2 linked regions of the Schizosaccharomyces pombe genome follow. The protein of the gene in region 2 purifies or fractionates together with the protein of the main gene of each other region. This does not show direct contact. Each region holds a gene or a part of one and is shown on either strand. Other genes may lie near its edges.

Region 1 (5,434 bases), 200 kb from region 2:
AGGGTCTTTTGCTACCGCAACTTGTATCAAATGCAAGCACAAGGTGGATGGATCGGAGTTATATGAAGACATAAGAAATCAAAGAGTTTCTTACTGCAATGAATGCGGAAAACCACCCTTAAAATTAAGAAGAGTCGGTCAAAATAAAAAAGAGAAACATTATTTTTCAGATGGTGATAGTGAATCTTCTGAAGATGATCTAGCTCAACCTGGGATTATGAAACCTGATATCACATTTTTTGGGGAAGCCTTACCGGATTCTTTCTTTAACAAAGTCGGGAGTGGTGAGCTTGAAGAGACTGATTTATTAATTTGTATTGGAACTTCTTTAAAAGTGGCTCCTGTTTCAGAACTCATCAGTGTTATTCCTCCTACTACTCCTCAGATTTACATTTCGAGGACTCCTGTTCGTCATACCCAATTCGATGTAAATTTTCTAAGTCCTTATTGTGATTGGGTTATTGTGGAGATTTGTAAACGTGCTGGATGGCTGAATGAATTACAAGCGCTTTGCGATTTACCTGAGTGTCATAGTGGTTCCAAAACGCGAGCTTTCGAAACGGATTTGGATATAAAATTTGAGGAGCCCAGCACCTATCATATCACGAGCACAACAAACGGTAGTTGTTAATTTTAGGACTGATCGATCTATCGAAGTTGAATGTAGAAGCAAATATATTATATACATATATCGAGTATGAGAGCCAGATTATTGGACATTAACTTATTATCCGTTTGAGACTTCTTAGTTTTGTAAGTGCCATTGTTAAAAACTGTTTTTTCTCTTCGCACCTAATGTTTAAATCTGCTAAACTGGGTGAAAACACATTAAAACAAGTTATAATACATTTTACAATACCAAGGACTGTGTAATTAGTAAATGAACATTGAAGCAAATTACATTCATAGGCTATGCAAAATTAGCTACTTTTTTAAGCATAGTAAATCAGTGAAAATGACACAATTATTATTTAAAATTGAAAGATTGATTGGTACATATCAATACAACCAATGAAGCATCTAATTGTACGATACTAAAGAGAAACAACTGAAAACGGACAATTAGAAATTGGTCAACGATATTGACACTCAAACTCAAAAGAAGAAAACAGATTTAATGAAGAATATAAAATGCACGGATCATCGAAAAAGCCACCAAATCAAGCCCATTTACCTAACAAAGCCATAACTCCAGTACCAGCCATCGAGCATGCCAAAAGGTAAATAAGCTTATACCAGTTACGTTCTCTTTCAGGACTAAATAAGAAATCGTGTGCAAGTAATTCCACTAAACCAGCATAAACCAAAATTCCAGATGAGATAGCATCCAAAACACCTTGGGCAGCATAAGACCCATGAGCAAGAGGATCCCAATGCTCACGAACACCTAAACCAGCTGCCATACCAATAGGCGTAACCAACGAATAGATAACGCCCAACACCCAAGGTACCCATGCAGTTTTTGGGCCCCAGGCCATTCCCGCCAAACGAGAACCTAAACCACAACCTTCAAAGGCCTGATGGAAAATAATGACGGGAAATAAAGTTTTAAATTCTTCACCTGAGACGGCAGTTGTAAGACCGATAATAACACTATGCAAAATGATACTAGATTCAAGAATTATAAAGGCAGTAAGTTGTTGCTTTAGTAAGAAACTACGAGCTTCTTCTTTAGTAGTCAAATCGGTACTATCAGTATTCGTATAAGGTTCTAGTTTTACTTCTTCCAAGTCATCCTTTACACATTCATGCTCAACACCATCGGCACATTCTTCAATATCATAAACTGGATGTTCATGAACACCGTGAGCACCGTCTTCGTGACTATGACTGTGTTGTTTGGCACCAAGAGTTGGACCATGATGATCGCCGATTTCCATACCGAACCGCCATTCCACATAGCGATTCAAAAGGACCTCCAACAAGAGAATAAACCAACAAGAAATAAGACAAATACCTGGAGCCCAATCGTAACCTCCGAAAAGGTCGTCAAGACAAGGATCGTAAAGCTTGTTACAAGCAGGGGCTAACAAGTGAATAAAAGCAGTAGCCAAAATAACACCAGAACCAAAATAACGAGCGAATAGATAGAGATATTCAATATAAACGTTGGGTCTGTTTTTGGTGATTTTAGAAAGGACCAAAGGTAAGTTCATGCCAATTAATGAAGTAGCCAAGATAACAAAGATGGCACCAATACGATATCCCAGATGACCATATTCGTTGAATTCATTGGCATCACCTCCACAAGTCACAGTAGCAGAGCTATCATCGTCTCTTTTTACCAATGGACTATATTGCTTATTAAGAAAAAGATGTCTCAATATTTGGTGAGATTCTTGAGCAAGATATTGATTATATGAGTTAGATAAATTGTTTAAAGACATTTTAATGTACGAGAAAGATACAAGATATAACTCAACAGGGCAAAGTTTGTTTTCAACGAAAAACGTTAAAGAGAGTGAAAATGGAATAGAAATTTTTTAACAACCTCCGAGCTGAGCAGAACGAGTTAAAGGGAGCAATAAACTGAGAGGATAATAGTTTAATTAAGCAACGAGGAAATACCAAACGAAACCTGAAATCCAAAACCAAAAAAAATTAAAAAAAAAAATAACAAATGAGAAAGCGGGGAGTTGATTGAACGAACAATAATTAAGGGAAAAGCAAAATACGCGATAGGCGCACAGGAGGAAGACAAAAAGGGAATAGGTTGAAGTTGCAAAGAAAGATCTCCAAATAATCGATATTTTCTACCACAAAACAATAGCAAAATACCTTAGGAATCCAAAGTGGTTTAAAAAAACAAAACCAATACAAAAAATGAGTGATAAGATCTACAACCAAAAAAAAAAAGCGATCGTCCTTTTGGTTTTTTGGCTGATTGTATTCACTTAGTATTAGCAACGTAAGAGTTGAAGCAGGAGTGATCAGCAATCTCACTTGATAACGAAATCAATCAAAATAATCGTAAAACTGAACTTATAAACTGCCTTATTTTCTGCCAAATCAATCGATAAAGGATTTGCAGCGTAGAATACAAGATTGATAACGTACTCTAACAAAACCTAACAGAATACAAACAAAATACTCGGATCGTGGCTGGAATGAAAGGATCTGCTTTCTTTATATAAAGCCTTGGACTGTTTTTTTGACTGTCATTCTAATGATGTGCGAATCGACGTACAAGGGATAGCAACGACAGGTAACATGGTAATTTTGCACAGGAAAATTTGTACAGATCACCACGTATATCACTTGAAAGTCGGGATAACCAAGGTTTAAGGATCGACGCTTGAAAATAGGTAAGTAAATAAGCACCTCGAACCACCACACTAGATAGCAAACTGAATAAAAAGAAAACGACCCCAAGTGAAAGAAAATTCTTACAAACATTCAAATTAAAAAGAGAAATTTGAAGGATAGAACGAAGCAATGAATTAAGATTCGTTGAAATTCTATACTCTCAACACACACAAGTCGCATGTCCTTTTTGCATGACAACACATCACTTGACTAAATTGTAGACAGCATCTACTAAAAATAGGTAAATTTTATTTGCAGATTGACGTCGATCTGTCACAACCATCTTATTATTATTTCAGAAAAAAAAAAAGGACCAGTCGATGGTAGTATCGTAACTGGTGCCAAAAGGGGATCGCCACATGGAACAATCCATGATCTTTTTTTTTTGCACTATCAGAGGACGGAGTGTTTTAATACACTGCTTGAATACAGTTTAGTGTCAACTACAGTAAGACATTCAATTTTGACGAATAATTAAAATATTTTATATTGATTTTAAAAAGTATTTGATAATGAGCCCACCACTTTGGGAACAAATATGAAAATCAACTTAGGAGATTCAAGTCTAGAGCAATAAATCACGGGGAAAGTGTCATGACGATCGAACGCTTATCAGAAAATCCGATAATCATTTCTTTTTCCAACTTGAAGCAACTTAAAAAGAACTTGAAAGAAAAGCGTTACGTTCATAATGAGCTTGCACAAAAAGATTTACACATACCACATACCTTAGAAACACTGAGAATGAGAAATTTTTAAAGAAGTTCCTCTAATGCATTTTGCGCTCGGATTCGATGGTTTTCGGAATTTTAAATTTTGCCGAGTTGCGCAAACCTGGTGTAAATTGAAAAGGTAACCCTCGTACACAGGAGCTTCGTCGCACATTACTTCAAATAGACAATTGTTAAAAAATTGAATTTTTTTTACATGTCACTCTGTTTTATTATTGGGAATAGAGTAAATCTAGAAATTGTATGTGCTGATGTCTAATCACAATCTTGTTTGAGGCGGTAACTTATATGCTTTTTGTTAAGTGCTTTAGAGAAAGGACTCCAGGGTAGGAATCTTGGAAAAGCAGAATTTTTTTCTTTTTTTGAAACAAAAGATAAAGAATTTTGAGTCGCATTGGTATGTACTGCCAGTTTTATCTCAATATTTTTTGTATAGCTTTGTATGCAAGTTTTTCGCGGTACTATATAATTGTCGCTCTATCAGATCGAAATACTAAGCTGAAATTGATTTGCAAAGCTATAATAATATGAACAAGGGAAAAAAGAAGAGAGAAGGAAGCGAAAGCAATATTGAGCTTCTCTAGTTATCATCTTCTATAAACCAAATCTGCATTGTTTGTCCTGAACCTTTCTCTCGTTGTCCGTCAGCCAACATCTCTAGATTATTTATCGTTCCATGGATCGACATGTTCTGATTTATCGATCGCTGTTTTCGACGAAGATCCTAATAAAATTTCACTGCTTCTCCAAGAATATCCATATAACAAAAAAAAAAACGTAACAATTATAATTTTTTTTATTTAAGATGCAATATTTCTTTATTAATTCATTATATTTTTTATTATTAATTATTTATTTATTTAAATATTTATTGATTTATTGACCTCCTTCTATTGTTTTAAACATTTAAAATTCGAAACTATAAACAGTGCGTCCCTACAAGATGCCATTCGAAAATTTTCTAATAGAACTTGAAATTTGCACAAGGATCTAGTTTGTATCAAAACGCCATAATCAAGTAGTTCCCTTTTTTATATTCTCCGATCAATTTGCCCAGCGCTAAGAAACTTGTATAAGACAATATAAAGCATAAAAAATTATATATGGATTATATAACGATAAAATTTATTTTATTTTATTATGAATCATTTTACTATACAGCTAGAGATATTCTCCTTACTTTGCAGCAATATCTAATTGTCTCCGTTAAAAGATTGCATCGGGAATTTCTATGGGGTTTACCGTTTTCAAATGATTAATAATTTTTTCCCACAAATAATTGTACACCCCTCTCAAAGTTTCCTATACACATACAATTAGTTAAAAGAATATAATTAAATAAAGAAATTCTATAACATTAGTATATGAAATTGAGATTTCGATTGATTTAAATTTAA
Region 2 (5,434 bases):
ATAACTTTTGATAAATAAAAAAGGTACGACAGGTCACGCTATAACTAGTAAACAACCATTAAGTTACACGTTATTACATTATTAAAGTATTCCGTAAGAGATGGACTCTATATCTGATCTGAGGATGTCCGTCCGTCATTCTCGCCTACACGGACACGAGACATTTCAATGATATGATAGTAAGATAGGATGGATAGAGAAGGAAAGAAGAAGTCGGAAGAGACAGAGCAAGGGGTTAAGCAAATTTGCCCAACACAATACGCGGTCGTTGGAGTTTATCTATAGATTTAACGAATGTTCGATAAAAACAAGGGTCGGAATAAAAAATGACGAGAAGAGAAAATTAAGTGATATGACATTTTATCAACGGAAATAGGAAATACATATGGGTGATATGCAGGTACCCGAATATCAAAGAAGGAAACAGTAACCTATGTTTGAAAGAAGACAATTCGTAAATGAAACCCTTCCTTACTTATCATTAAACTAGCGATACTTGTTGGACTTCATAATGCGCGTCTCTATAGACGTTTGTTACTTTAAAAAATCTATTAGCAGAAGGATCAATTGATAAGACGAGAACGACTTGATGTTAAGTAGGCGCAAAGAAAACAAGCATTATGGACGGCTCAATGAAATAAATAATTAACATGCAAAAAATATAGAAAAATGCAATGTTCAGTTTATAGCACTTAGTAACAAGTGTTGCGAATTTTTTCCAACTAGTAGGTAAACATGCATTGTTAACTCTATGAAAACACTGGAAACATTGGTTCCGTGAAACTTTCGACGGAATCAAAGGGGGAAAAGGTTTTTAACGTGAAAAGTATAGTTCAAATTACATGACGAAGAGGTGTGGTAGATAAGTTTTAGAGAGCGAAAAAAAAAAAAAAAAACCAAAAAACCAAAAAGAGGTCAAATTTTTTTTTTCCTTTTCTCTCCTCTCTCCTTTTCAATTGATAAGGAATGGGCATAGAAACAAAAAGCAATTTGTTTAAAAGTTCATAAATTCAAAGGAGAAACATCTGCCAAAGTAGTATCAACTTGTGCACCGACGACGAGATAGAAAAGTCAAGTCAGAATCAGCAATGCTAGAAGCATAGATATCGATGTGACATTGCATACTCCTTCGTTATTGGGGATTTATTTACTAATGCTATCAAACTCAAGTTTCTTCAAAGTTATCATGAACTTACTATAAGAAATCTGATTCTGTGATAGAAGATATCGTTTGGAATTTAGGGTATACTATCTGTTGCTAATTTGCATACTTTTTGAAGTCTTGTGCCTCGCCTTACACAACCATCTCGTTTGCTTGACGGAGGGTAGGGTATCGCTGCATAACGAGTTGGACCATTTCTTACTAGGCTTTCCCGATACTTTCAGCAATCTTGCAGCATTATGGTTTCATTTGGCAAAATGAGGGAAAATGGGTGCGAAAAATTGCTCATACACCAACAAGTCCGTTTTGGAGTGTGATATGTTCATTTCCGTGACAGTTATACCCACTACTATTAATGCTATCACTATTCTTCCTTTCTTACTTTACTTTACCTTACCTACTTGTTGTCGTCCCTCATCATCTTTGCGACAATTCATGTGGGGGTAGGCGAACTAGTCGCTTTTACTATCTCTGCCACCCACGATGTTTACCGGGTTCGAGGTTCTTAAAGAGAAGACCTTGTTTCCTCGTGCACACACCGTGCTACAGCAGACCACTCACCATTCGCATACATAGTTTTACCTTGGTGAATCGCCAGCGCTAATCGCGGAATACCCGGGGAAGGAAACAAGAGAGAAGAGACACGCGAACGTGGTGTAAAGGCCGATGTCGAGAAGAAGGAATGAATTCAACGGTTAAATAAATAAATAAAAACAACAATGTAACACTCATCAAACGATTACATAAATTTAATAAATATGCAAAGTATTAAGAATCTAACAAATATGTAATTATTATTAATGAGCAAACTACAAGTAAGCAATGAATACAACTCAACCCTCAAACCTCTAAAATTATTGAAAAACTTCGTTCACCTGTATGTCGTCGTGAGAGAATAAGAAACGTAGAGGATGTGTTTGTAAATAACAATATGTATGACAATACATAGACAGTCATCTCTTTTCTACCTTTTCCCTCATCCTCATCCATACTCATATAGTAACACTTATACCTTTTACTCTCACTTTCACATATACTAACTATATTGTCTCACATTCTTTCTATACCTCTCCTCACTCTCATTCTCACTCCTGTAGTGAAACTTCTATTTTTGGCACTATAACGTGCTACTCGTTTTTTCCATATGCTCTGCACGTTGTGCTCTTGACCATTTAATTCCATGCACCCCACTTGGTACCCAATTTCATCCCCACTTTTTCGGTCAAGTACGACTTTCCACTTCAACCATGCGATGTGGTGGCACAAAAGTCCTAAATGGAGGTACACGAGTTTTTTCTATCGTTAAGCAAAAACACGCAACTGAACAAGTGCGCAATCCTTCCGCATGATAGTGGAGTAGATGAAAAAAACGGCATCACACGAAGAAATCCAAGCTTATCTATTTCCAGCGGATTTACCAATTTTCACCCCTTTTTCCAACAGGTCACACGTTGTGCGATATGGTTACTCCTCGTGCATTTTTAATCAAATAGATATTCCGCACTAACGTTTTTGTCCGAAATAACATTTGATTTATCCAATCAACCATCAAACCCACCTTTCACGCATTGACCTTAATTATTAAAAATGTGCAGTCTAGACCGGTCCTCCCTCTTTTTTGATTTATCTGTAGGGAAGATAATAAACTTTTTCATACCACGTTTCCTACATTTACGATTTGTCTATCGCCTATCGTGCTTTGCTCACCGTCATTGATAAAGGCGTGCATGAACACGTGGTGACTGCTAAATCAGTGTGGACAAATTTCATTTTCAGCAGTATTTATACTTGAAAATTATCCCCTCAAAAGACATCCTTCGTCGTGCCGTCTAGTCTGTGTTTTAGAAGTAAGAGAAATTCAAAAACCTTGAGTGGAAACTCCTCATCGTTCGTATAATTAATCGTTTGACCTCTTTTGTTTGGAGTTGTGACTTTCTCCACACTTTCACATACATACACTTTTAATTTCCAAGTATTTATTTAATACATTAAGGAAAAATTTTTTCATTCTAAAAATTTTTCTTTTTTTATTATTATTGTCATAAATACTTATTTGTTGTTGTGTATATTTAATCTTGTTTTAAATACCCTTTCTCACTCTCACTCACTTTCATATTTCTTACTCTTAGTTGAGTTAGTCGGCCTTCGATACACATATAAAAGTGTTTATTTTAACTTTTTTGTGAATTCACTTGTCAATTTTGTGTAATTAGTTTGACTAATTATTATTATTATTATTTTTGATCTATTCTTTTTTTTATCTTTTGTACTACAATTGTTTTTTAATCTTTCGCTTGTTTACGTTATTTTTCTCTTCCTCTTTTTTTTTTTTTAATATTCGCCTCTTTTGTTTTCTCGTTTCATTGTAATTATTTTATACCCAAAAATTGTTCTTGAAACTTCTGTTCATTCTCTTTTTTATTATTATTTTTGATTTTCATACGATCGATTTCCTACATTCAATTTACCTGTGTTTACAATGAGTAGCATTGAAGAACAAATTACGAAATCGGACTCCGATTTCATCATTTCAGAAGATCAATCCTACTTAAGCAAGGAGAAAAAGGCTGATGGTTCTGCCACCATCAACACCGCTGACGAACAATCCTCCACCGATGAACTCCAAAAATCCATGTCCACCGGCGTCCTCGTCAATGGTGACTTATACCCTTCTCCTACCGAAGAAGAATTAGCCACCCTTCCTCGTGTTTGCGGTACTATTCCTTGGAAAGCCTTTATTATCATTATTGTCGAGCTTTGCGAACGTTTCGCTTACTATGGTCTCACTGTTCCCTTTCAAAATTATATGCAATTCGGTCCTAAGGATGCTACTCCAGGTGCCCTTAATTTAGGCGAAAGCGGTGCTGACGGTCTTTCTAATTTCTTCACATTTTGGTGTTATGTCACCCCGGTTGGCGCTGCACTTATTGCTGATCAATTCCTTGGTAGGTACAATACCATTGTTTGCTCTGCTGTCATTTACTTTATTGGTATCTTGATTCTTACATGTACTGCTATTCCTTCTGTCATTGATGCCGGAAAAAGTATGGGTGGGTTTGTCGTCTCTTTGATCATCATTGGTCTTGGAACCGGTGGTATCAAATCCAATGTTTCCCCCTTGATGGCTGAACAGCTTCCAAAAATTCCTCCTTATGTAAAGACCAAGAAAAATGGTAGCAAGGTCATTGTTGACCCCGTCGTCACCACCTCTCGTGCCTATATGATTTTCTACTGGTCAATTAACGTCGGTTCTCTCTCCGTATTAGCCACCACTAGTTTGGAAAGTACTAAAGGTTTTGTTTACGCATACTTGCTTCCCTTGTGCGTCTTTGTTATCCCCTTAATTATTTTGGCTGTTAGTAAGCGCTTTTACAAGCACACTCCTCCCTCCGGTTCCATCTTTGTTCGTGTTGGTCAAGTGTTCTTCCTTGCTGCTCAAAACAAATTTAATCTCGAAAAAACTAAACCATCTTGCACTACTACTGTTGGACGCGTTACGCTCAAGGATCAGTGGGATGACTTGTTTATCGACGAATTGAAACGTGCCTTACGCGCCTGCAAAACTTTTCTCTTTTACCCTATCTATTGGGTATGCTATGGTCAAATGACCAACAACTTAATTTCTCAAGCTGGACAAATGCAAACGGGTAATGTCTCTAACGATCTTTTCCAAGCCTTCGATTCAATCGCCTTGATTATTTTCATTCCCATTTGTGACAATATCATCTATCCATTATTGCGTAAGTATAACATCCCTTTCAAACCCATCCTTCGTATTACTTTAGGGTTTATGTTTGCTACTGCTTCCATGATTTACGCTGCTGTTTTACAAGCAAAGATTTATCAAAGAGGCCCTTGCTATGCAAATTTTACTGATACATGTGTTTCCAATGACATCAGTGTTTGGATCCAAATCCCTGCTTACGTTTTGATTGCTTTCTCTGAAATTTTTGCCAGTATTACTGGTTTAGAATTTGCATTTACCAAGGCCCCTCCTTCAATGAAATCCATTATTACTGCTTTGTTCTTGTTCACCAATGCATTCGGTGCCATTCTATCTATTTGCATTTCTTCTACTGCTGTCAATCCTAAGCTTACTTGGATGTACACTGGTATTGCCGTCACTGCCTTTATTGCTGGTATTATGTTTTGGGTTTGCTTCCACCACTATGATGCTATGGAAGATGAACAAAATCAACTTGAGTTCAAGCGTAATGATGCGTTAACGAAGAAGGACGTTGAAAAGGAAGTTCATGATAGTTATAGCATGGC

What was found.
Region 1: the proteins of ptr2 (region 2) and zrt1 purify together in Schizosaccharomyces pombe (co-purification; one study listed by BioGRID). This does not show direct contact.

What each region holds. Positions count from the first base shown.
Region 1 is NC_003423.3:3,604,843-3,610,276, reverse strand, and holds zrt1 (plasma membrane ZIP zinc transmembrane transporter Zrt1), read right to left. Parts: upstream 3,101-5,434; 5' UTR 2,388-3,100; coding exon 1,161-2,387; 3' UTR 947-1,160; downstream 1-946. Other genes in the region: histone deacetylase, Sirtuin family, NAD-dependent Sir2, read left to right, coding at 3-631. UniProt on the Schizosaccharomyces pombe protein: High-affinity zinc transport protein. Regulates intracellular zinc levels.
Region 2 is NC_003423.3:3,405,900-3,411,333, reverse strand, and holds the start of ptr2 (PTR family peptide transporter), read left to right. Parts: upstream 1-2,974; 5' UTR 2,975-3,641; coding exon 3,642-5,434. UniProt on the Schizosaccharomyces pombe protein: Uptake of small peptides.